5 linked regions of the Callithrix jacchus genome follow. The protein of the gene in region 4 interacts with the protein of the main gene of each other region in a pairwise test. Links are inferred from orthologs where the notes say so. Each region holds a gene or a part of one and is shown on either strand. Other genes may lie near its edges.

Region 1 (4,748 bases), about 27 Mb from region 4:
CCTTCTCCTCCCTGGAAAAAAAAAAGAATTGTGGTTTCCTGCAAGGCCCAGAATACGTGACCCATAGCTCCCTCACTAAGGGAGGCTGACTCTAAGAGTGTGCATTTGTCTTATAAAAGAAAGTGTCAGCCCAATTGGAGATAACTCTCGAACTTTGGGTTTTCTCATCTTTGGCCTCCAAAGAATAATATACATAAATATAAAACTCTATGGAAAATGTATGGCATTGTATCAGAATGACAGGAGTTTCAGTGCATATTCTGATTTTGAGACAAGAAAATCAATTCTGCTCATCTGAGGCCAGAATGACAATTAGTTCTTGTTGAAGTGAGAGATTACTTACTCAGCTCTTTTTTTTTATGTTTATGTGAAATTTCAGTCACTCAGAACAAAATGGGGCAAGAGAATGGGATTGTAATGTGCTTCTAAAAGATATATGTTTCCATTTCTATATTCACATGGATCTTATGAGATTCTCATACTTATAAATTGACCACCAATTAGTAAAATAAATATTTATATCTAAGGCCCATTCATTGTACTTCTTGGTACTATCAGAATTCTCTATTTAATATCCTAGACCTCAAAGAAAAGTGCTTTGGAGGAGCAAAAAAGGAAAGGGGGAATAACAACATGACCTGTTATCCAAAATGAACACATAAGCACAGATCACTTTTCAAAATGTCCATGATTTCAGAACATAAATTCAGACACACCCTTCAAAGAAGCTTTAGAGAGGAGAAAACCTGGCCAGCTTCCCAAATCTCACTGCATCCAATTGGACTGGGTGATGACCAAGATCAAAGGCATGTGGTGATTGGACAGAGGGCCAGGAGGAACTGGCATCCTCAAGGCTGCTGGAAATTAGCCAGCTCAAACATACCAAGCACAAGCAATTGAAAATAAAGACAGGCCAGTAATCGAATACACATGGGGCTACACTTCATGAAATGCAAACTTGACGTGTTCACGAAGGAGACGTTTCCAGGTCTTCAACAGCATATACTCAATAGGAAAATCAAAACATCCCCTTTTGCAACCTGGAGCCTGAGTCTTTGGCTCCCACTTTAGGGAAATGGGCAAAATGACCTCTTTGTCATAGTACCCATCATGCTCCCTGCCCTCCTCCACTTCCAGACCCCTCTCCCCTAAGTAACTTTGTCTCTCCAACACACTTTCCAACCCCATACTCCCTTAGAAACATAGAGCAAAGATGACAAATTCTTTTCTGTAGGTTCTGATTCACAAAGGGAGAGCATTAGAATGGGGGCTTTGGATAGAAAAACCCTTGAAAATAAGTGCCTGAATAAAGATATAAAAAGAGAAAAGTAAAGGAAGATTTTTTTTTCAAACTTGATGCCCTTTAAATATGTATATATGGATTACATTTTCGTGGAGGAAAACAGTAAAATCCAGCAGCATTTAAGGGATTTCCTCTCACCAAATTGTCTCCGGTCCCTTAATTTTGTTTAAGCCTTGCTGAGTACTTTGTTCACGGTCCCTAGTGTGGTGATTTGCATCCCCCTATCTGTGTTGCTGTTTGCAGGGCAGGCAGCTGTCTCAGTCTAACTCTAGCTGGGAAAGGTAAGGATCTTTGTTTTGCTGTTTGAAAGATCTGGGAAGGAAATGTCTAATGCTTAGGTGGGTTAGGGGCATAGATAGAATTCATTCATTGGAGGCTTTAAGAAAAGTTCTCCAAACTTAAAGGAGTCTCCTAAAGCCATGTGCTTTAGAAAGAACTAGAGAGATTTCCTCTTCCTTGTGAAAAGAGAGGGCTTGCAGAAATAAGGCTGGTTGCATTGTGGATGAAATTTTGCATTTGGGGGCAGGTGTCCCTGAAGGGATCCACAGGGGTGTTTCATACATTATAGACAAAGAGTGGAAGGAGGAATAAACATTCAGAGGCAACACGAGATCATGAGGAATTCTCCTTGAATTTCAATTTGAAGAGGTAAAGTCAGTTAAAGCTGCTTGTGTCCATGGTTAGGATAACCACTTTATGCCAAAGCTTTCTACTTCTTTAAATTTAACGTACAAATCATCAGTTCGCTACTCAGAGTCTAGAGATGTGTATCTGCGTATCAAGGCAGGTGCATATACCCTGGAGCACTGGGGTGAATGAGGCACCTGAGCCTGACAAGGCTGAAAAAAGCTTTGGTACTGGAAGTGACTACAGACCAGCCCATGCTCCCAGGGCAAAGATGCACTCCCTGTGCCTCATTATAGACTCAGCAAAGGGCTCACCATGGGAAAAGGTGTCATTGTCCTCTCTCTAGAAGGTCAATTTGTGCACCTGTAGCCTTGGTAACAGGAAAGCATGCTTTTCAACAAAATAAGGTGATATTCAGAGCTTTGGTGCAGTTATTGGGCTATCTTGGGAGGGAAGTAGTACTGGAAAGTAGAGGGGAATTGTGGATAAGAAGACAGCTCTTTTAAGGAGCTTCTCAAGAACCTCCATCTCACCATCTTCCCGGGACAACTTTGGCAAAAAAAGTATTCCTGACCCTCAACACCAAGTTACAGTGCTCCTCACGGATGAAGGCTGTCTCTTTAGGTCTGACATTCTTAAAAGTGTTAGGATCATGGTGACCAAGGCCTTCCAGGTACTTGCCATGACTCCCCCAAGTCTCAGAGACTTTTCAACTTTATGTTTTATAATGACATAACCCTCTGGCTTTCATTCTAGAATAAACAACTCTGGTCCCTCTCCTTTTGTGACAAGTCATCTGGTATTGCTACAAAGCAAGGCTGCGGAGAGTGTGCTGTGCTAGAGGAGAGGTAAGATGTTTGAGAGCATCCAAGCCCTTTGCCAGCAATTAGAAAAATATAACAATTTGTTTTTCTTCTAACAAAGAAGGAAAACAAATCTCTTCCAACAGTTAATTTGGATTTGTGGTTCACAGTATTAATTCGAAGGGGTTATTAACACTTGTGCAGATGAAAAATGAGAATGAAAAACTTTTCATTACAAAGTGTAGGATGAGCTCCCAGTATTACCTTTTCTTCTCAAAAAGACAATCTAGAGCTTTACATATTTCAAGTTTTGAAAAATTGCACAGATTGTCTGTAAGAAAGCATAAACCTATAAAGCCACTTTATAGGTATATGGGGGTGGGAAATAGATGTCTACCTTCATTGTTTGAGTGTATGAGGTGTCAAGTTGTACACGTTTGAATGTTTAAAATACCATGTTCCTTAAAGTGGGCCAAGGAACAGAGATCTCAACTTAGGTAGGGAGCTTGTCACAGACCTACTGAATCAGAATCTGAATTTAGCAATCTCCCCAAGTGGTATATGTAACCATTAAAGATTAAGGTTCAAACCAGGGGTTTCTCTGTTACTGTGTGACCCTTGTCAAACCACTTAACCTCTCTGAGCCTGTTTCCTCATTTATGAACTAGTGAAAATTAATGTTAACGTGTGACATGTCTTAATATTGTGCCATCTCCAGAGTAGGTGCTCTGTAAATGGTAGCAATTATCATGATGGTGATAATCTTAGTACTGATAAAGTTACTGCCTTGGAAAAGCAATAAACAATCATGTTTAAATCAACATGACTGGTTTTTCCCCTTAACCGCAAACATTTTTGCCTCCTACCCTCATTCCTAAATGAATTAACACTGAACAAGTGAGGATTTAACCTTCAGTTGATTATCACGTGCATATAAATAAAGAATAATGGGAAAACCTAGGAACATGGATTTTTGCTGTCTTAGAGACTGAATTCAGCTGCCTGATGAGTTCACAGCTGTTTCTGCTGTCCTGGAGAGTCTGTCCCCTTTGCTCTGTCCCCTCAGCCACGTCTGCAACACTGACTCTGGGATTTTCTTATAAAAATATCTGATGGACTGATGGACGGGAGGAAGATCTGGAGGGCGGCAGGGGAAAAAATGAGTCATTCAAATTCACAAAGCAGACCGCTTAGTAAATACTGCAAGAGAAATAAAAGTAAAAGCTGGCCTTTTTACTTTTTTCTCTGGGGAACCTGTAGAAATGATTTGGAGTTATCATGTCACTGAGTAAAGTTGGGGGAAGCCAAAACTCAGAATCTGCTGGCAAGGAAAAGAACTAAGGAAAAAAAAAGTTAGGGAGGGGCAAACCGGAGGGGGAGGGAATAAAAAGACAGAGGGAGGGAAAGACAAGCGTCATTTAGGAACAGAGGTAGCCTGAAGAAGCAGGAACTCCAGGATCCCAAAAAAAGACCATATAGTAAAGTATTTTCACATCTTTTCTTTTCCCCAGAAGAGACCCCTAACCTGTCATTTTATTGACAGCCGAGCTGTTAGAGGCTCTTTCCCAGAAGTTGGACAAAGAGGCTCAAGCGTTGCTGTTTCTTCCCTTCCAAGTCAAGTTGTTTCTTTGGTAATGGATTGCCTCTCTCGGAGGTGAGTATAAGTAATTTGGGGACAGATATTGATTTTCAGGTTAGCCCAATCTCAGCTTTGGGGTGAAGATAAGTTTTCCAGACATAATCTCAAATATCTTTTAACTGGCCTCGCCAGTAATTAGGGTGTCATTGGACAACAGTGATTAATTAGTTTAGTAATTAAAAATGACATGTGAGTAGGCAGCTGTAATATTTAGTTTCACTGCTCAGGGAGTGATATTTTGACTTTCCAGGGTAGGGAAGAACTATTTGATTTGGAGTTGAACGTGTTTTCGGTGGATGCTTAATATATTCAAAGTAGTAATCTCATTGAAATGGTCTCAAGTATCTTTCTAAACTTGTTCAGTAACTACAACTGC
Region 2 (4,644 bases), on a different chromosome or scaffold from region 4:
GGGGTTTGGACTGGAATGAATTTGGGAGTTGTGTGTCGCCCCCTTGTGGTAGACGCCGGGAAGGCACCGGGCCCTAGGGTTTGGACTGGAATGATGAACGCGGGAGTTGTGTGTCGCCCCCTTGTGGTAGACGCCGGGAAGGCACTGGGCCCTAGGGTTTGGACTGGAATGATGAATTTGGGAGTTGTCCCAGTGGGTGTCTGTCGACTACAGAGGAGTGAATGCAGCCGAACCCTAGAAATTTTGGAGCTAAGGAAGAATCAGAAAAGAGATGGAAGGCCGGGCGCAGTGGCTCAAGCCTGTCATCCTAACACTTTGGGAGGTCGAGGTGGGCAGATCCCTTGAGGCCAGAAGGTTGAGATCAGCCTGGCCAACATGGTGAAACCACGTCTCCACTAAAAATGTAGAATTTAGCCAGGCGTGATGCTGGGTGCCTGTAATCCCAGCTACTCCGGAGGCTGAGGCAGGAGAATCGGCTGAACCCGGGAGGCAGAGGTTGCAGTGATCCGAGATCGCGCCACTGCACTCCGATCTGGTGACAGAGAGACTCCATCTAAAAAAAAAAAAAAAAAAAAAAAAAAAAGGCGGGCCGGGCGCGATGGCTCAAGCCTGTAATCCCAGCACTTTGGGAGGCCAAGGCGGGTGGATCATGAGGTCAAGAGATTGAGACCATCCTGGTCAACATGGTGAAACCCCGTCTCTACTAAAAATACAAAAACTTAGCTAGGCATGGCTGCATGTGCCTGTAATCCCAGCTACTAGGGAGGCTGAGGCAGGAGAATTGCCTGAACCCAGGAGGCGGAGGTTGCGGTGAGGCGAGATTGCACCATTGCACTCCAGCCTGGGTAACAAGAGTGAAACTCCGTCTCAAAAAAAAAAAAAAAAGGCTGGTGATTCTCATACACAGCTAAGGTGAGAATCCCCGGTTCCCCTGAGTCACTCCGAGCTGCTGTTAATGTGCAGGTTCTGACCCAAGTGATGAGTCAGGTCCCAGGTGATGCCAATGCTGTCCTTCTGTGGACCACACTTGGAGCAGGAATAATGAAGAGAAGGCTGGGCAAGGTGGCTCACAACTGTAATCCTGGCATTTTGGGAGGCCAAGATGGGTGATCGCTTGAGCCCAGGAATTCCAGACCAGCCTGGGCAACATAGTGAGCTTCTGTTTCTAGCACACACACACACACACACACACACACGAGCTGGGTGGGATGGTGTGTGCCTGTAGTCCCAGCTACTAGGGAGGCTGAGGTAGTAGGATCAATTGAGCCTGGGAATTAGAACGCTGCAGTGAGTGTATGATTGTGACAACTGCCCTCCAGCTTGGACAACAGAATGAGACCCTGTCTCTTAAAAAAAAAAAAAAAAAAAAGACTCGGAAACGAAGTGGTTGAACTTGCTTTCTTTCCTTTCCTTCTCTTCTCCTCCTCTCCTCTCTTCTCCTCCCCTCTCCTCTCCCTCCCTTTCTTTCTCTCTTCTTTTTTGATAGAGTCTTGCTCTGTCACCCAGGCTGGATTGCAGTGGTGCAATCTTCGCTCACTGCAACCTCCACCTCCCGGGTTCAAACGATTCTTCTGCCTCAACCTCTTGAGTAGCTGGGATTACAGGCACCTGCCACCACGCCCAGCCAATTTTTGTATTTTTAGTAGAGATGGGGTTTCACCATATTGGTCAGGCTGGTCTTGAACTCCTGACATCAGGTGATCCACAGCCTTGGCCTCCCAAAGTGCTGGAATTACAGGAACGAGCCACTGCACCCAGTCACCCAGCCTGGTCGTTTTCTTTTTCTTTGAGATGGAGTCTCGCTCTGTCACCAGGATGGAATGCAATGGCGCCATCTTGGCAGAATCCTGACGCCTGTGCTCTTAACGGAGGCTTGAAAACAAATGGGCAGAGCACTTCTCATCGTGTCATGTATCCCACTGCAGCAGAGCAGATGCAGGAAGGGCCTGCGGAAGAGCAAAGTCCTCAAAACAAATGAGTCTCCCTCCCAGCTCCATCTGGGTCCTTCTCATTTAGTTAAATAAATTCAAGAAAGGTCAGCCAGGGGGAACATGGTGGCTCATGCCTGTAATCCCAGCACTTTGGGAGGCCAAGGCGGGCGGATCACTTGAGGTCACGAGTTTGCTACCAGCTGGCCGACATGGTGAAACCTCGTCTCTACTAAAAATACAAAAATTAACTGGGCGTGATGGTGTGCGCCTGTAATCCCAGCTACTTGGGAGGGGGAAGCAGGAGAACCGCTTGAACCGGGGAGGCGGAGGTTGCTGTGAGCAGAGATTGCACCATTGCACTCCAGCCTGAGTGACACAGCCAGACACCGTCTAAAAAAAAAAAAAAAAAAAAGCCGGGCGCAGTGGCTCACGCCTGTAATCCCAGCACTTTGGGAGGCTGAGGTGGGTGGATTACCTGAGGTCAGGAGTTCGAGATCAGCCTGACCAATATGGTGAAACCCCATCTTAAAAAAAAATTTTTTTTTTAAATAATAATAATGAAAAGAAAAACAAGCAATTCTTGGCTATGAGTATACAGTAGACGCTCAGTCAAGGTAATTGAAGGATTGGATGACAGCTGATGAATCCCCAGGTGCCTGCGCCGGTCGCTACCCGTGCACTCTGGTAGCTACGAGGGTCCAGCCAGGGCGCTCGCACCAAGACCCCGCGGGGGCGCTGTGGGGGTGACGTGCAGGTCCCGGCGTGGTCGTCATGGTATGAGTTCCCCCCAGTCTTGCTTGCGTATTTGGCGCCTCCGTGGGAGCTCCTGGCAAGGGTCCTCGCGGCGCGGCTGCAGACAGGGACCGACAGCTCCGGAATCCCGGAGAAGCCAGCGCGGACCAGGGGGAAGTGGGAGTTCGTTAGGGCGCGGCTCGGGCACTTTGCGGGGTTGGGAATGGGAACATGGGTGCTCAAGGTGGCGGATGGGAGCACGTGGGCGGCGGATGCCAGGGCCGCGGGGTGTGCTCCATCTTCCGGCTCCCGGTCCGCGGTGAGCGAGAGTGGACTAGCACCTGCAGGTGACAGCTGGGGCTGGACAAATGCCGGGCGGTGCACAGGACTCTGGCCGGCCTCAGAGCTGTTTGGCGCCAGCTGGCGGCTTCCTGCCAACCGGACCACGATCGGCGCTGCACTCCCGGCTCTCCTGGGCGCCCCTTGCTGGGCGGAGCCGGGGCCCAATAGGACTGGCCTCCAGCGCATAGGGGTTGGGGACCGGCTTGAGGGTGGGAGATAGTTTCTGGAGTGGACAAGGTGAATGGCAGATGCCAGGTGGTGACCTAGTTTCCCAGGCCTTGGGGCAGAGTCAGTTTACCCCAGAGGGCAGAGTGGTGGCCGTGGACCCGCTGTACACACAGGAAGGGCTGCCCAATCTCCGTGGGTGATGGGGTCGAGGAGAGGTCCCTGGACCGAGGTGCTTGTTGACTCTGGATCTCTCTGGACAGATGGTGACAGAGACTGGGAAGTAGCATGGCTTAGTTCTGGGGGTGGCCGAATGAGGAAATTGATGGGGAATGAAGACTCCTGGGGGCCCCCAGGCCCCTGACAGGGGTTAGGGGCCTGGGGGACAGAGAACACAGTGCTGTCCCTGGAGATGGAGAGGGGGCTTGCACTACAGCCAGATCTAGGGAACTTCAGAGCATGGGAACAGGGGAGTGTCCTCTGGACCTGCTGCCAGGGTTTTTTCATCCCATGGTAACTGTGCCCTTCTCCCAAGATTGTGCAGAATCAGTGCCTCTGACTTGGAACTGGGGCTGGCTAGGAACCTCCTAGCCTTACTTTCTCTACCAGTAAAATGGGCCCTTTGGGCCAGGCATGGTGGCTCATGCCTGTAATCCTAGAACTTTGGGAGACCGAGGTGGGTGAATCGCAAGGTCAGGAGTTCGAGACCAGCCTGGCCAACATGGTGAAACCCCGTCTCTACTAAATTTACAAAAATTAGCCAGGAGTGGTGGTGGGTGCCTGTAGTCCCAGCTACTTGGGAGGCTAAGGATAATCGCTTGAACCAGGAAGGTGGAGGTTGTAGTGAGCCCTGCCTGGGCAAGAGTGAGATCCGGTCTACTAAAAAAGAAAAAAAAAAGGGGGGGGGGCCCTTGACTCAGTCCTATCCTCCTCCCCAGGTAGAGAGGGTCCCAGGCAGCCATGGGCTCGGTGACCAGAGGAATGCGAAGTACTCAGCAGACATTTCCCAAGCCTCTCCCCAAGGTCAGCTTTTCATCCTCCTATCCACACCAAAGGGCTCACTCGTCATCATGACACCCTTAAGGATGAGGGAATTGGAAGGCAGGGGGGTCAAGTCTTCTCCAGGGTCCCACAGTTGTAGTTTCAAGGCTTCTGACTAAGGGGGAGCTTAGGTGGCCTTGGAGCACTGGGGCCTCCCAATGGCATGTCCCGCCCCATCCTGAGTGACAACCACCTCAGCTGGGGCCCAGGGGTGCTGGGAGGGTGGACACCCAACCCAAGCCATGTGAGCTGAGGCTGCAGCCCCATCAAGGACAGGGCAGTCTTCAGGTCCCCGGTGAGGCTGTGGGCAGTGGGGCAGACAGATCGGTTCTAAGGGCCTGAGGATCCCCTCCTGTCCCTTGAAGTAGCTGAAGGGCCTCTAGAGCCCAGAGCTGTCCATCTTTGAGGTGATGTGGCCCTGGGCTTCTGTACC
Region 3 (4,690 bases), on a different chromosome or scaffold from region 4:
TGCGCTCTTAGCCACTATGCTCTGCAGCCTCAAGAAAGTGGTCAGTTAGTGTTAGTAATAATCACATTTACCAATTTCATTGTTTGGGGTTTCATGTAGTCCTTGCACAAACCTATGAGCTAGGGCCATGATTCCAGTTTTGCAGAGTGGGGAACCCGTCACAGAGCTAGTGAGAGGCCACACCAGGCCTCCAGTCCGGCTGGTCCATCTCTAGGACCTCAGCTCAGCACCATGTCCTCGTACTGCAGGCCTCAGCGGTCAGCACCAGGCATCCCATGGGGACTTAAGATTCCAAGGCATTTTAGCACTGCTTAGAAGTTTGGGGTAAGATCTTTTCATCCTTTTAAATTTTTATTTGATTTTTGAGATGGAGTCTCACTCTTTCGCCCAGGCTGGAGTGCAATGGTGCAGTCTCAGCTCACTGCAACCTCCACCTCCTGGGTTTAAGTGATTCTCGTGCCTCAGCCTCCCAAGTAGCTGGGATTACAGGCACCTGCCACTATGCCCAGCTAATTTTTGTGTTTTTAGTAGAGATGGGGTTTCACCATGTTGGCCAGGCTGGTCTTGACCTCAGGTGATCCTCTGCCTCAGCCTCCCAAAGTGCTGGGATTACAGGCAAGAGCCACTGTGCCCGGCCTCAGGTGAGATTTAAATGTTGTAACTCCTTCCAGAACCTCATGGCCTATGAATATGCCCTGTCTCCTGGACACAACCTTCAACTTCCTGACTGGGGCTGGGAGTGCAAGGATTTGTTTATTTTTTCTTGAAACAGAGTCTTCCTCTGTTGCCCTGGCTGGAGTGCAGTGACACAATCTGGGCTTGCTGCAGCCTCTGCCTCCCAGGTTCAAGCGATTCTCGTGCCTCAGCCTTCCAAGTAGCTGGGGTTACAGGCCCGAGACACTGGGCCTGGCTAATTTGTTTTGCATTTTTGTCAAAGATGGTATTTCACCATTTTGGCCAGGCTGGTCTTGAACTCCTGGCCTCAGGTGATTCACCCGCCTCAACCCTGCAAAATGCTGGGATTACAGGCCTCAGTAACCGCACCCAGCCTGGGAGTGCGAGGATTTAAATAAAATCTTGTGAAAGTCCAGTTTGGTTCCTTCGGGGCCCCAGCTGGGTCTGGGGGCAGCGCAGGAGACAGGCTGATGGAGAGGGCCTGCCTCAGGCACCGCCTGGGCATCTTCACGGGTGTGAGGACTCTGTGAGATGGCCGAGTCCTGAGGTCCCCTGTACAGACAGATGGGGAAACACAGGTGAAGTGGGGACAGGGACTTACATCAGGTCACACGGGGAGCCAGTGGCTGAGGCAGGAGCAGAGGCAGGACCTGGCCCTGGGTCTCTGCGCTGAACCATTCCTGGGCATCCTGCTGAATTTGCCCCCAGAAGGAAATGGGCCTCACATACCCCACTGCCGCCTCCTAGCATACTTTTGTCCTGACCCCTTGAGACTGGCTGAGGACTGGTTGCCATAGAGATGGCCTGTTGGGCAGTTCCACAGCGGGGGTGGGGGATGGGGCAGGATGGGGAGGACACCGATATGCTAAATACCCACCAACAGTTGGTTAGGGCCCCGTTGGGGCGACCAGGGCAGGACACACAGCTTCAGGCTCCGGGGAGCAGCTCTAGGCTGCTCAAGCTGCTGTTGACCATCTCTCGGGACAAGCAGGTGAGGGAGGCCCAGTGGGGGCATTTCCAGGAGGGCCGCGTTGGGTCAGGGAGGCCTGGGCTGGGGAGGCTCTTGAGAAACCATGATACCTGAGCTGAGGTCCAGTGAAAGTCAGGGGGCAGGACCGGGACAGGGACCACAGGGAGCCCTAAAGGCCTTGGGGGAAGCTGAGGGATGATGGGGCAATTTAGGGAACACTGCGGGAGGAACAGGGTTTCAAGAAAGATGAAGACCACCTTGATGAAGACCACCTTGGTTTCCGCCTTGGCTGTAGCAGGTCCAGGGCCCAATGGGACATTTGGGAGTGCAGTCCAGGGCCCAGAGGCGGCCTGGTGCAAAGGTGACGAATCTGGGCTCCACCACTTTCCAGCTGTGTGACCTCAGTTACTCAGCCTCTCTGAGCCTCAGCTTTCTCCTCCGCATGAGAGGAGTGATCTCCTCCGCATGATGGGGCCTCCTAGGGTCCTTGGGAAGGTAATGTGTGTTCATGTATGAAAGTCCTGAGCACATAGTAGGTGCTCAGCAGATGGCGGCTGTTGCTATTTTAATATGCAGAATGGAGGTGTTCAGTCGAGTTCTTTTGTTTTGTTTTGTTTTTTTTGAGATGGTGTTTTGCCCTTGTTGCTCAGGCTGGAGTGCAATGGCGCAACCTCGGCTCCCTGCAGCCTCTGCCTCCCGGGGTTCAAGCGATTCTCCTGCCTCAGCCTCCCAAGTAGCTGAGATTACAGGCACAGGCCACCACATCCGGCTAATTTTTTTTTTTTTGTATTTTTAGTAGAGATGGGGTTTCACCATGTTGGCCAGGCTGATCTCGAACTCCTGGCCTCAGATGATCTGCCCACCTCCGCCTTTCAAAGTGCTGGGATTACAGGCATGAGCCCCGCGCTCGGCTGTGTTCCATTGGTTTTAATGGTAACAAGGGCCCAGAGGGGTCCAGTCAGGCCCAGCCAGGTGCACAGAAGAGGAGGGCACCCAGGCAAGGTGCAACACAGTCCAGAAGGCTGCTCCGAGCTAACCTCCCCTACTGTCTGTGCCCAGGGCCACCTGGGGAGTGGTGACGGTGTGCCAAATCAGGACCTGCAACGGAGGTCTCAGAGCTCAAGGCAGACAGCAAAGAAGGACCGCAAGCCCAGGGGTCAGAGCAAGAAAGGACAGGGTTCTGAAGAGGCTGAGGCGTAAGGAGCAGTAGGATGGGTCAGGTGGGTGCTGGGGTCAGGCCCTTCTGGGGGCTGGTGTGGAACCTGACCCCCACCCTCTCCTTCTTCAGTCTCTTCACCCCTTCTGCTCGGAAGCCCTCCTTCCCCTTCCAGTGGGCCTGGGAAAGCATTGCCACAGATGTCCGGGATGCACTTCAGCCAAGCTCCCCAGCCTCTAGCCACCAAGTCCTGCCCCTGCCCTCCTCACTCTCCCAGCCTCAGTTCAGGCGCAAGTCCACAGGCAGCCTCCCAGAGAACCCTGGCTGCTGCCAGAAGACAGAGACACGAAACCTAAAGGTGAGACAGCGGCTGAGAGCCTGGGGCGGTGTCTCCATCCTTCCTGGCAAAGGAGGACAAGGACCAGAGCCCCACTGTGAGTGTGACCTCCAGCTGCCTGGGAGGAGGCCAGGATCAGGATCGGTGTCCGACGAGCAGGTCCAGCTGCCAGGCCCGGGTGCTGAGAAAGCCGAGAAGGGTCTGAGTTCTGTGGAGCTGCCCCAGCGCCCCAGAAGGGAGCCGATCTCAGAGGAGGAGCAATTCTCAGATGCCACAGAGGAGGCTGAGGAGGGGGAGCACAGGGCTACCCACAGAAGGAGGGCTGGTTCTCAGAAAAAGGGGCAGATTTCTGGAGAGGAGGCTTCAGATGAGGGGGAACAGGGCCAGAGCCAGGGGAGCACCCCCAGCTACAACAACCTCCAAAGGCCACGGAGGAGGAAGACAAGGGCCAAGGAGCTACAGGAGCCGTGGGACCTGGAGAAGCTGCACAGTCAGCTCCAGAGAGACCTGGATTGTGGTGAGCACGCGGCTCAGAGCCTGGGTTCCCCGAAGCAACACCACTGGGAGAGCACTCAGGGAGGCAGGAGCTCAGGCAGGCTAGGCTGTGCCCTGGGTGCTGGGGGGATTGCCTGGTGGGCTGGGAGAGAGAGGGCAGTCCCTGACTTGATCTCACTGTGGACAGGTCCCCAAAAGCAGCACTGGAGGGCTCGGAGAGATGCCTTCCAGGCCTCCAAACGTCATGGGAAGGGCTATGCCTTGGGAGGCGATGAAACCTTCCTGTCTGCCAACCTGTCTAACCGCACCTTCCACAAACGACAGGAAGCCACCAGGTAAGAGGGTAGAGAAGGGAGTGGGAGGCAAGAGTGAGAAGTAGAGATGGAGCCAGTTCTCTAAGACGTGCTGAGGCATTTGAACTCTCATTCATTTCTTTGTTTATCCATTCGCCAAACTTTTGGATTCTCCATCCATTCATCCACTCATCCATCCCTCCATCCACCCAACCATCCATCCACCCATCCACCCATCCATCCATCATCCATCCATCCAAACATCATCCATCCAAACATCCATCCATCCATCCATCCATCCATCCGCCCATCCATACATCCATCCACCCATCCACCCCACCATCCATCCATCCATCCACCCACCCACCCACTCATCCATCCATTCATCTAAACACCATCCATCCATTCATCCACCCTCTCACTCATCCATCCATCCACCCACCCACCCACTCATCCATCCATTCATCCAAACATCATCCATCCATTCATCCACCCTCTCACTCATCCATCCATCCGCCCACCCACCCATCCACCCACCCACCCATCCATCCATCCACCCACCCACCCACTCATCCATCCATTCATCCAAACATCATCCATCCATTCACCCACCCTCTCACTCATCCATCCATCTGCCCACCCACCCATCCACCCACCCACCCATCCATCCATCCACCCACCCACCCACTCACCCATCCATTCATCCATCCATCCATCCATCCATCCAGCTACTGAAAACATCCACTCAACCGTGTATCCATCTC
Region 4 (4,781 bases):
CTGTGATTACAGGCACGAAACACTGTACCCAGCCACAGTTTAATATATACAAACACAGATACAGTTATACTGAAATAGATTTATATTTGTATAGTGTATAGAACCTAGCTGTATCCATTAAGAAAGCCCAGAAGAAATGGCATCCATCTGACACTGGGATCTTGATTTCTAAACACCACGTTCTTTTTTTTTTTTTCTTTTTTGACATGGAGTCTCGCTCTGTAGCCCAGGCTGGAGTGCAGTGGTTCGATCTCAGCTCACTGCAACCTCCACCTCCCATGTCCCAGTTCAAGCAATTCTTCTACTTCAGCCTCCCAAGTAGCTGGGATTACAGGCATGAGCTGCCATGCCCAGCTAATTTTTGTATTTTTCAGTAGAAATGAAGTTTCACCATGTTGGCCAGTCTGGTCTTGAACTCCTGATCTCGTGATCCGCCCGCCTCAGCCTGCCAAAGTGCTGGGATTACAGGCATGAGCCACCCTCCCTGGCCAACACCACCTTCTAAACTAAAAGGAACCAGGGCTCCTTGGAGAAATGACTGATTCTGGGATATGTCAGGGCAAGCACAAGACGAGTCTGAATTCGTGCCAGAAAGAAAGACAGTGCTCCAGAAGGTTGGGATGGCTACAGAGAGGCCAACTTGAAGGGGCTCCTAATACCTCAATCTGGACAATGTACATGATAGCAATGAATTAGAATCCATGGAATAAAAAGATATACTAACAAAAATAGGCCGTGCAGGGTGGCTCACACCTGAATTCCCAGCACTGTGGGAGGCCAAGGTGGGTGGATCACTTAAGGTCAGGAGTTCAAGACCAGCCTGGCCAAGATGATGAAATTCCACCTCTACTAAAAACACAAAAATTAGCCAGGCACAGTCGTGGGTGACTGTAATCCTGCCTACTCAGGAGGCTGAGGCAGGAAAATTGCTTGGACCCGGGAGGTGGAGGTTGCAGTGAGCCAAGATCATGCCACTGCACTCCAGCCTTGGGAGAGAGAGCAAGATTCCATCTCAAAAAGAAAAAAAAGATATACTAACTAAAATTAACAACTGAATAGAAAAATGATGAGAAGAGTTGGTTCTTTCTCAGGAGAATCCTAACTAATAAATGTAGGAGTAATGGAAACAGAAAAATCATTTAACAAATGGCACACTAATAGTTATTTTCGGGAAACACTCCTCGGTGCTAAAATTAGTGAGAGGAGTATGGTTAGGAAACATCATCTTGCAGGGCCTGTGGCTCAGGCTGTAATCCCAGCACTTTGGGAGGCTGAGGCGGGCAGATCACTTGAGGTCAGCAGTTCAAGACTAGCCTGACCAACATGGTGAAACCCTGTCTTTACTAAAAATACAGAAAAAAAAAATTAGCTGGGTATGATGGCAGGCGCCAGTAATCCCACCTGCTCAGGAGGCTGAGGCAGAATCACTTGAACCCAGGAGATGGAGGTTGCAGTGAGCCAAGATTGAGACACTGAACTCCAGCCTGGTGACTGAGAGAGACTCTGTCTCAAAAAAAAAAAAAAAAAGAAAAAGAAAAGAAAAAGAAACAAGATCTTTACAAAGTCGCAAAATATTTCCCCACAGATACTTATTATTTACAAAGGGAAGGACCCTAACTTTATGGATACACTCGGCAGACATCACCTCAGCCACAGGGACATGACTAGCACCAACAGCCATGGCTACCCTGTGTCTTCTGAGACACTGGGAAGGACACAATTGCCCTTTTGAAGTTTTCTTGCCAAAAATGCATAATATAAAATCAATAACGAGAAAACATCAGAGAAACCCAAACCGGGGGGCATTTTACAAAACAGCAGACTCATCATTGGACCCTAGACCACAGTAAAGTCATCCATGAGTTAGCTGCTAAGTGAGAATAAATCCTTGTGGGAAGTAAAAATTTCCTTTTTAAATTTCCTGTCTTGGTAAAGAATAAGTGTGCCAACAACTTTGTCAAGCCCTATCCCATGTAGCTGTTAGACATGCCGTGCTTACAAGCATGTAGTACATTCAATGTCCCTGTACTTTAACCAAGATATCTGTGCTGGAGATGCTCACAGGCATGTCCCAGCTTTTACCCGTTTAGAAAAGTTTTAAGTTGTTAGCCAATTGGGCTTTAGTTTAGATCGTGAGGTCTGGCTCCAGCCAATGGAGATCAGACACAGGAGTAAGGACAACCCCAAATGCGTAACGAATACATTTGTGTGCATTCCTTTATTCACTGTACTCTGCAGACAACATGGTTAGTGAGGGTGCCCTTCCTGCAGTCCAGGAAGTAAAAACTGCATTGCTGAATGATCTTTTGTCTCAGTGCTAATTTTTCTTTGCAGCACCGAGCATCTATTTCCAACAATCCTGGAGAGCAGATAGTGGCATTATATTAACATGAACGCCAACATCTGCATGTTGCTGAATGAACTGTGGTTCTGTTCTGTAAGAGGTCAGCATCCTAGGGGCTCTGGGCAAAAGGCACAGGGGAAATCTTTGTACTCCTTTTGTATACTTTTTCTAAATTGCATATAAGTTTTTTTTTTTGAGACGGAGTTTCGCTCTCGTCGCCCAGGCTGAAGTGCAATGGCGCGCGCTCCGCTCACTGCAGCCTCCACCCCCCAGGTTCAAGAGATTCTCCTGCCTCAGCCTCCCGAGTAGCTGGAACAGCGGGCGCGTGCCACTACCCCCAGCTTTTGTAGTTTTAGTAGAGACGGCATTTTGCCATATTGGCCAAGATGGTCTCGAACTCCTGGCCTCAAGCAATCTGCCCGCCTCGACCTCCCAAAGCGCTGGGGTTATAGGCGCGACCTACCGCGCCCGGCCTATTTTATTTTTTTAACTCATACTCAGTGAGGCTGACTGGGAGCGGAGCCGTCCTTGCCGACGGCGGAACCGGCGAACTCTCCCGTGGCCCCGGTCGGTAGCACCCACCGCCCCAGGTCGCCCATGGGCGACCGAGGAAACGCGCCCGCCCCGCCGCAGCCTCCGCGAGGGGCTCTCCGGTCCCGGCCCGGCCGGGCTCTGAGGGTTGACCTCGCGCTCGGGGTCCCCACCAGAGCGCTGCGTCCTACTCTGTGGAAAATGCAAGTCCCGGCATTTTCCACAGAAAAGTGGTCTGAGCTGCGCCTCCCGAGCCGCCCGCGCCTCACCGGAACGCGCTTCCGCAGCACTGCCCGGTCCCGCCGCGTTGCCACAGCGACCGCGTCCGTCGGCCGTGTCTGGCTGCGCTCGGTGCAGCGCTCGGGTCCCGCCGGCAGGAAACGGGATCCCTGGCGCTGGGTTCCGGCGCCTCCTGCGCCGCCAGGTTTCGCGCTGCGCGAGCCCGAGAGAGGCCACGAGGCCTGCCGCGGATCGAAGAGTGAGCCCGGCCTCTGATCAGCGGAGCGACCCCGGATGGGGCTCCGGGCTGAGCCGCGCGAGGCGCCCCCACCTTCGCCGCCCCCGGCCAGGCTGAGGGCCCCAGGCGCCCGCTCCCGAAGGGTTGACCTGAGCCTTCGCCCCGGGACCAGGGAGCACGAGGGCGGGCGGGGCCTCCACGGGCCGGCGTCGTCCTCGGGGCAGGGGGCGCCGCGCCCAGAACCGGGATGTCACGAGTTCCCGGGGCTGCCCACGGGCTTGGAGACCCCGATGAGGGAACTGGGGAAAGGAGGGGGTCGGGACAGAAGGAGACCCAGAGACGCCCCCGCCGTCCTGTGGGAACAGTATCCTCAGGCTCAGCCATTCCCAACCATTCCTCAAAAAAAGGCATCTAGATGTTCTTATCCATCTGCGAGGGATGAACTGAGGCCGGCCCGGGACAGGGCAGCCTGGTTCACAGAACCTTCAGCCACCACTAATGCGTGGAGTGGACGGGGTATCTGGGGTCTGGGAGTTCCCCTGGTGGGGCAGTCAGCCAGGGGTCTGGTGTCATCCCCCACCCGCGTTGTTACCCGGGATCACTCCTCTTTGTGCCTGCAGCCAGGCACCCTGCAGCCTTCCTCCCACCCACGCCCGGGACAATGCTGGAGGAGCCTAGGACTCGGGCGCTGGTGGCTGACCTCACCATGGGAGCCCCCAAAAGCTGTTTGCCTGAGGCCTCCAGGCCTCTTTCGGGGTCCTAAAAACCCAGGGACCCAGGACAAGAGGTGTGAGGGGACCCCGCCTGGATGGGCCAGAGCAAGCCACTTCCCCTCAGGTTTGGGGAATGCCGGCGTCAGGCTTGCAGAGGCAACTTCTCCATCTGCCTGGTTCCCAAGCTCTTCGGCAGTAGAGGAGCCAAGAAATGAAAGGGGCTGGTGCCTGTGGGCATGCTCTGCTCCTGGGCCCCGTGTCCAGTTGTTCCAGGAGGAGGGGAGTAGGCAGTGACTCCTGGCCTGGGTCCTGGGGAAAGGAGGGTACGGATGGGAGTTCAGTGGGAGACGTCCGCCATGCACTCCATGTGCCAGACAGCTTGTCCCCAGAAGCTAGGGCTGCCCTGCAACAGGGTACTGGCCGTGTTGGCTGAGGGCTGGGGGCAGGGAGGATCCTCTGGACAGGATGACCCTCCAGGAAGAGACCAGCAAGACTGGCACTGTCCAGGTGGGACCATGAGCCAGACGGCGGCAGACATGCCCCAAAGCCACTGCTACTGTAGCCGCTTCCCAGAAGTCAAGGCCTGGAGGCAGGGCCAGTGTTGCCAGGGATCCCAGTATGAACACAGGCAGGACCAGGGGATACTCCCTCAAGGCTAGTGTGGAACAGGTCGTGCCCCCCAGCAGGTGGGACCCAAAGGGAGTCCTCCCAAGGCTGGCTTCATCCAGAAGGAGAG
Region 5 (4,908 bases), on a different chromosome or scaffold from region 4:
GGAGATGGCTTCTTTCCTCAAACCTCAGCCAGGTGCTATAGCTGATGCCTGTAATCCCAGCACTTTGGGAAGCCAAGGCAAGAGGATTGCTTGAGGTCAGGAGTTCAAGACCAGCCTGGGTAACTAGCAAGACCTTCATCTCAAAAAAAAAAAAATTAGCCATGCATGGTATCACACACCCAGGTACTCAGGAGGCTAAGGCAGGAGGATCACTAGCGCCTACACGTTCAAGGCTGCAATGAGCCATGATCACTACTGCACTCCAGCCTGGAAAACAGAACAAAACCCTATCTCACACACACACACACACACACACACACACAAAAAAAAAAAAAAAAAAAAAACAAGGCCGGGAGCAGTGGCTCAGGCCTGTAATCCCAGCACTTTGGGAGGCTGTGGTGGGTAGATCACATGAGGTCAGGAATTCAAGACCAGCCTGGACAACATGGTAAAACCCTCTCTCTACTAAAAATAAAAAAATTAGCTAAGTGTGGTGGTTGGCACCTATAATCCCAGCTACTCAGCAGGCTGAGGCAGGAAGATCACTAGAACCCAGGAGATGGAGATTGCAGTGAGCCGAGACTGCGCCACTGCACTCCAGCCCAGGCGTCGAGTGAAAAATCTCAAAAAAAAAAAAAAAAAAACAATCGGCCAGGTGTGGTGGCTCACACCTGTAATCCAAGCACTTTGGAGGCTGAGGTGGGCGGATCACCTGAGGTCAGGAGTTCAAGACCAGCCTGAACAACATGGTGAAACCCATCTTTAAAAAACGCAAAACGAAACAAAAACTGGCCCGGTGCGGTGGCTCAAGCCTGTAATCCCAGCACTTTGGGAGGCGGAGGCAGATGGATCAGGAGGTCAAGAGATCGAGGCCATCCTGGTCAACATGGTGAAACCCTGTCTCTACTAAAAATACAAAAAATTAGCTGGGCATGGTGGCACGTGCCTGTAATCCCAGCTACTCAGGAGGCTGAGGCAGGAGAATTGCCTGAACCCAGGAGGCAGAGGTTGTGGTGAGCCGAGATCTCGCCATTGCACTCCAGCCTGGTTAACAAGAACAAAACTCCGTCTCAAAACAAACAAACAAAAACAAACCCTTGCTAGCTTCCAACTTTTCTTTTCTTTTTTTTTAATTGTTGTTGAGACAAGAGTCTTACTGTCACCCAGACTAGAGGGCAGTGGAGCATGTTGGCTCACCACAACCTCCACCTCCTAGGCTCAAGTGATTCTCCTTTTGGGTAGCTGGGACTATAGGCATACACTACCACTCCCGGCTAATTTTTGTATTTTTGGTAGAGACGGGATTTCACCCTGTTGGCCAGGCTGGTGATCCGCCCACCTCAGCCTCCTAAAGTGCTGGGATTACAGGCCTCTGCCCCTGGCCAGCTTCCAACTTTTCTTCTGCAGCTTCCTCATCTCTCCTAGCCCTCATAGAATTGAAGAGAATTAGGGACTTGCTTGAGATTAAGTTTCAGTTTAAGAAAATGTTGCGGGTGGTTTGATCTTCAATTCAGACCACTAAAACTTTCTCCACATCAGCAATAACGCTGTTTAGTTTTCTTTTCTTTTTTTTTTTTTTTTTAAGACGGAGTTTCACTCTTATTATCCAGGCTAGAATGCAACGGCCAGATCTCAGCTCACTGCAACCTCCACCTCCCAGGTTCAAGCAATTCTCCTACCTCAGTCTCCCGATAGCTGGGATTACAGGCATGTGCCACCATGCCTGGCTAATTTTTTGTATTTTTAGTAGAGATGGGATTCCACCATGTTGGCCAGGCTGGTTTCAAACTCCCGACCTCAGGTGATCCACACACCTCGGCTTCCCAAAGTGCTGGGATTACACCCAGGTGAAATCTGTTGGAGCCCTCCTTCCTCCCCTCTCTCTCTACTGAGCCACCGCACCTGGCTGGCTGTTTAACCTTTTTTTTTTTTTTTAAATCACCGGTGTGTTCCCTGGAGTACCACTTTTAATTTCCTTCAACAACTTTTTCTTTGTATTCACACAACCTGGCTGTTCCGAACAAGAGGTCTAGCTTTCAGGTTTTCAGCTTTTGATGTATCTTCACTAAGCTTAGTCATTTCCAGCTTTTGATATAAAGTGAGAGACATGGGACTCTTCCTTTCACTTGAACATTTAGGAGCCACTGTGGGGCTATTAATTGGTCTAATTTCAATATTGTTGCCTCTCAGGCTACAGGGAGGGCAGAGAGGGAGGAGAGAAACAAAACTGGCTGGTAGGTGGAGCAGTCAGACAGAACACTTTAGTTTGCTGTCTTACACCGGTGCGGTTCGTGGCGACCCAAAACAATTCAATAATAGCATCAAAGATCACAGATCATTGTAACGATATACCTAAAATAAGAAGTTTTAAATACAGGAAGAGCGCACATGCTTGGAAAAATAGTTGCTTGGTGCAGGGCTGCTTGCTACAAACTTTTATTTTGTAAAAACTACAATATCCGTGAAGTGCAATATAGTGAGGTATGGCTCTACTCAAGTCCTTCATATCATTCAACAAATACTTACGACACTGTAGTTAAATCTGAACGGCCTCCCACTCGGAGAAGACTTGAAGGTTTGTTTACTGCGTTAGTCCCCGCGCGTTCAGTGGGGCAAGGTCGCCTATACACTAGCCCTTCCGCTCCCGGGCCACACAGCCGGGAAGACGAAACCCCTGATTTGGATCCCTGCACGCTAAGGAGCACCGGCCAGGAGCGCACTAGAAGCCTGGAAGGATGCGGTGCCCCGGGGCGGAGGACAAGTTTAGAAGACACGGCGAGAGAGGATGGCGGGCTCCCGGCCCCATCCTGTGCTCTACTGTCGCGCTTCCTCCATTCCCACACCATAGACCCGCAGATAGGCAGCATCACCTGCACTTCGAGGGGTGGAAGGAGGGCTCCGATAGATTTCACCTGGCCCAGCTCGGAGAAACGCGACAGAGCTCCGTGCCGGGCTCACAGGCGGAGAGGCCGAGCCCCTGAGAGGTTGGGGACGTTTGGGCCAGGTCTCATACCTGAGGAAGCCGAGCCCTCCGGCCTTACGCTGGAAGAAGTCCCGGCAGGAGCCGGCGGTCCGGGACCCGCTTCCTTACTCCCGCGCGACCCACGCCTGCCTCAAGGATTCGCACGCCTCCAGACGCGGGTCTCGCGACGGGCCCGTCCCTTTCTCCACGGCGGTGACGCAGCGCGCACGAGGACCACACCGCCCAGACCCCGGGGTTTGCGCAGCCTCAGTCGGGCAGGTGGCGCACCTCCCTCCGGCCGCTTTCCAGAGGCCACGAGGCGAGTGGATTCCGACCAGCCCCACTAAGAGCTCTTTCCCTTCTTGGCTCGCTGGCTTTGCTGTGAGCTCAGCTTGCTACTGCTCCTCTTAGACGAGAGGAGTGGGAGGTGTTCCGAGGCGGAACCCCGACTTTCGCCGCCAGCGGCCAAGCACTGAGGATAAGGTTCCAGCTGGGAGGCGGCTGTGGACAAAAGTCCCCCTTCCCTCACTTCCGGGCTCGTGCGTGAGCCTCTCGGGCTGTTAGTTCGCGGGGAGTGCAAGCCGGAACCGTGGATTAGGACCCGCCCATGCGTGGACCTGGCCGGTTGCTACAACGTGGACTTGGAGGGGAGAGGTCCCATGGCCCCCGAATTATAAATCCCAGGCTTATCTCTTTTTGTAACTCTTCCTTCTACAATGTAATTAATAAACGCTCCTTTTTGTGAAATTTTTCAACTTGGGCCAATCCTAATAATCTTAAAAATAGGAGTGAGAGGGGTAAGTGGGACGTTTTGCAATACTTTTTTAAGTTCATGTCTTTTATGAACTTAAGAGTTTTGTCTTCCGGTTTGTTGAAGCAGTATGTCAGACAACATTTGCCACAACAATGTCTGTCAAAGTGGCTTGCCATAAACACTCCAGCACCACATTCATCAGAAGGGCACTCTCAACCAAGGCGACTAATTTTGCCATTCTCATCCACCTTATAGTATTTCAGGACAGCCAGCTTAACCTTCTTTCTCTTGTGCTTATTCTTCTTGGAAGTGGTGTAAGACTTCTTCCTTTTCTTAGCACCACCACGAAGTCTCAACACAAGAGGAAGAGTAGACTCCTTTTGAATGTTGTAGTCAAAATACATCCATCTTCCAGTTGCTTGCCAGCAAAGATCAGTCTTTGCTGATCAGGAGGAATTCCTTATCCTGGATCATGGCCTTTACATTTTCTCTTATCCGAGGGTTCGACCTCGAGTGATGGTCTTCCCCCTAAGGGTTTTCACGAAAATCTGCATGTGGGTGGTGGCTCCACCGCAGATGGCAGATCGAAAAGCTGAAATACTTTTTTACTGTGTTTTGTAAAACATTTGAAAGCATGTGAGATTCCTGGTGCAGAGACTAAAAGCTAGCAATAGTCATTTAAATACTTGACTTTATGCTAAAAACATGAGGAAAATTGTTGGGTGTCTTGGGATTAGAATCACGGATAATTTGTATTTTTGCCCTATTTTCTACATGCTAATTTTTGCAATTAAAACATTTTTCATTTATTTATTTTTTGAGATGGATTCTCCTGTCGTCTAGGCTGTAGTGCAGTGGTGCAATCTCAGTTCACTGCCACCTCCACCTCCTGGGTTCAAGCAATTCTCCTGCTTCAACCACCCAGGCTAATTTTTGTATATATTTTTTTGGGGGGAGAGACGGGTTTCACCATGTTGGCCAGGTGTGTCTCCAACTCCTGACCTCAAGTGATCCACCTGCCTCAGCCTCCCTGTAATCCCTCAGCCATGAGCCACCACTCCTGGCCTCAATTAAAACATAATTTGAAAGGAGTTTTACTTTAGCGGACACCAAAGCCAATGTTTTAGGGACAACTTTTATCTGAAGTTAATGTGACCAAGTAGTTTTAAAATAATTTAGCGAGCTTCAAGGT

Evidence for each region. The genes of interacting proteins can lie anywhere in the genome.
Region 1: the proteins of CCDC57 (region 4) and TMEM100 interact in binary tests that used the Homo sapiens proteins (3 or more experiments, as listed by UniProt). The two-hybrid records come from large-scale screens. The link is inferred for Callithrix jacchus from reciprocal best matches to the Homo sapiens genes CCDC57 and TMEM100.
Region 2: the proteins of CCDC57 (region 4) and PRAM1 interact in binary tests that used the Homo sapiens proteins (3 or more experiments, as listed by UniProt). The two-hybrid records come from large-scale screens. The link is inferred for Callithrix jacchus from reciprocal best matches to the Homo sapiens genes CCDC57 and PRAM1.
Region 3: the proteins of CCDC57 (region 4) and TSGA10IP interact in binary tests that used the Homo sapiens proteins (3 or more experiments, as listed by UniProt). The two-hybrid records come from large-scale screens. The link is inferred for Callithrix jacchus from reciprocal best matches to the Homo sapiens genes CCDC57 and TSGA10IP.
Region 5: the proteins of CCDC57 (region 4) and SFI1 interact in a two-hybrid assay, tested with the Homo sapiens proteins (2 studies listed by BioGRID). The two-hybrid records come from large-scale screens. The link is inferred for Callithrix jacchus from reciprocal best matches to the Homo sapiens genes CCDC57 and SFI1.

What each region holds. Positions count from the first base shown.
Region 1 is NC_133506.1:110,543,456-110,548,203, forward strand, and holds the start of TMEM100 (transmembrane protein 100), read left to right. Parts: upstream 1-1,557; 5' UTR 1,558-1,584; intron 1,585-2,686; 5' UTR 2,687-2,778; intron 2,779-4,146; exon of another isoform or gene 4,147-4,276; 5' UTR 4,277-4,387; intron 4,388-4,748. UniProt on the Homo sapiens protein: Plays a role during embryonic arterial endothelium differentiation and vascular morphogenesis through the ACVRL1 receptor-dependent signaling pathway upon stimulation by bone morphogenetic proteins, such as GDF2/BMP9 and BMP10.
Region 2 is NC_133523.1:8,023,411-8,028,054, forward strand, and holds the start of PRAM1 (PML-RARA-regulated adapter molecule 1), read right to left. Parts: upstream 3,192-4,644; coding exon 2,604-3,191; intron 1-2,603. UniProt on the Homo sapiens protein: May be involved in myeloid differentiation. May be involved in integrin signaling in neutrophils. Binds to PtdIns(4)P.
Region 3 is NC_133511.1:123,021,909-123,026,598, forward strand, and holds the start of TSGA10IP (testis-specific protein 10-interacting protein), read left to right. Parts: upstream 1-1,499; 5' UTR 1,500-1,510; coding exon 1,511-1,666; intron 1,667-2,704; coding exon 2,705-2,841; intron 2,842-2,933; coding exon 2,934-3,655; intron 3,656-3,820; coding exon 3,821-3,968; intron 3,969-4,690.
Region 4 is NC_133506.1:137,848,328-137,853,108, forward strand, and holds the start of CCDC57 (coiled-coil domain-containing protein 57), read right to left. Parts: upstream 3,190-4,781; 5' UTR 3,145-3,189; intron 1-3,144. UniProt on the Homo sapiens protein: Pleiotropic regulator of centriole duplication, mitosis, and ciliogenesis. Critical interface between centrosome and microtubule-mediated cellular processes. Centriole duplication protein required for recruitment of CEP63, CEP152, and PLK4 to the centrosome.
Region 5 is NC_133502.1:201,983,052-201,987,959, reverse strand, and holds the start of SFI1 (protein SFI1 homolog), read right to left. Parts: upstream 3,192-4,908; 5' UTR 3,014-3,191; intron 1-3,013. UniProt on the Homo sapiens protein: Plays a role in the dynamic structure of centrosome-associated contractile fibers via its interaction with CETN2.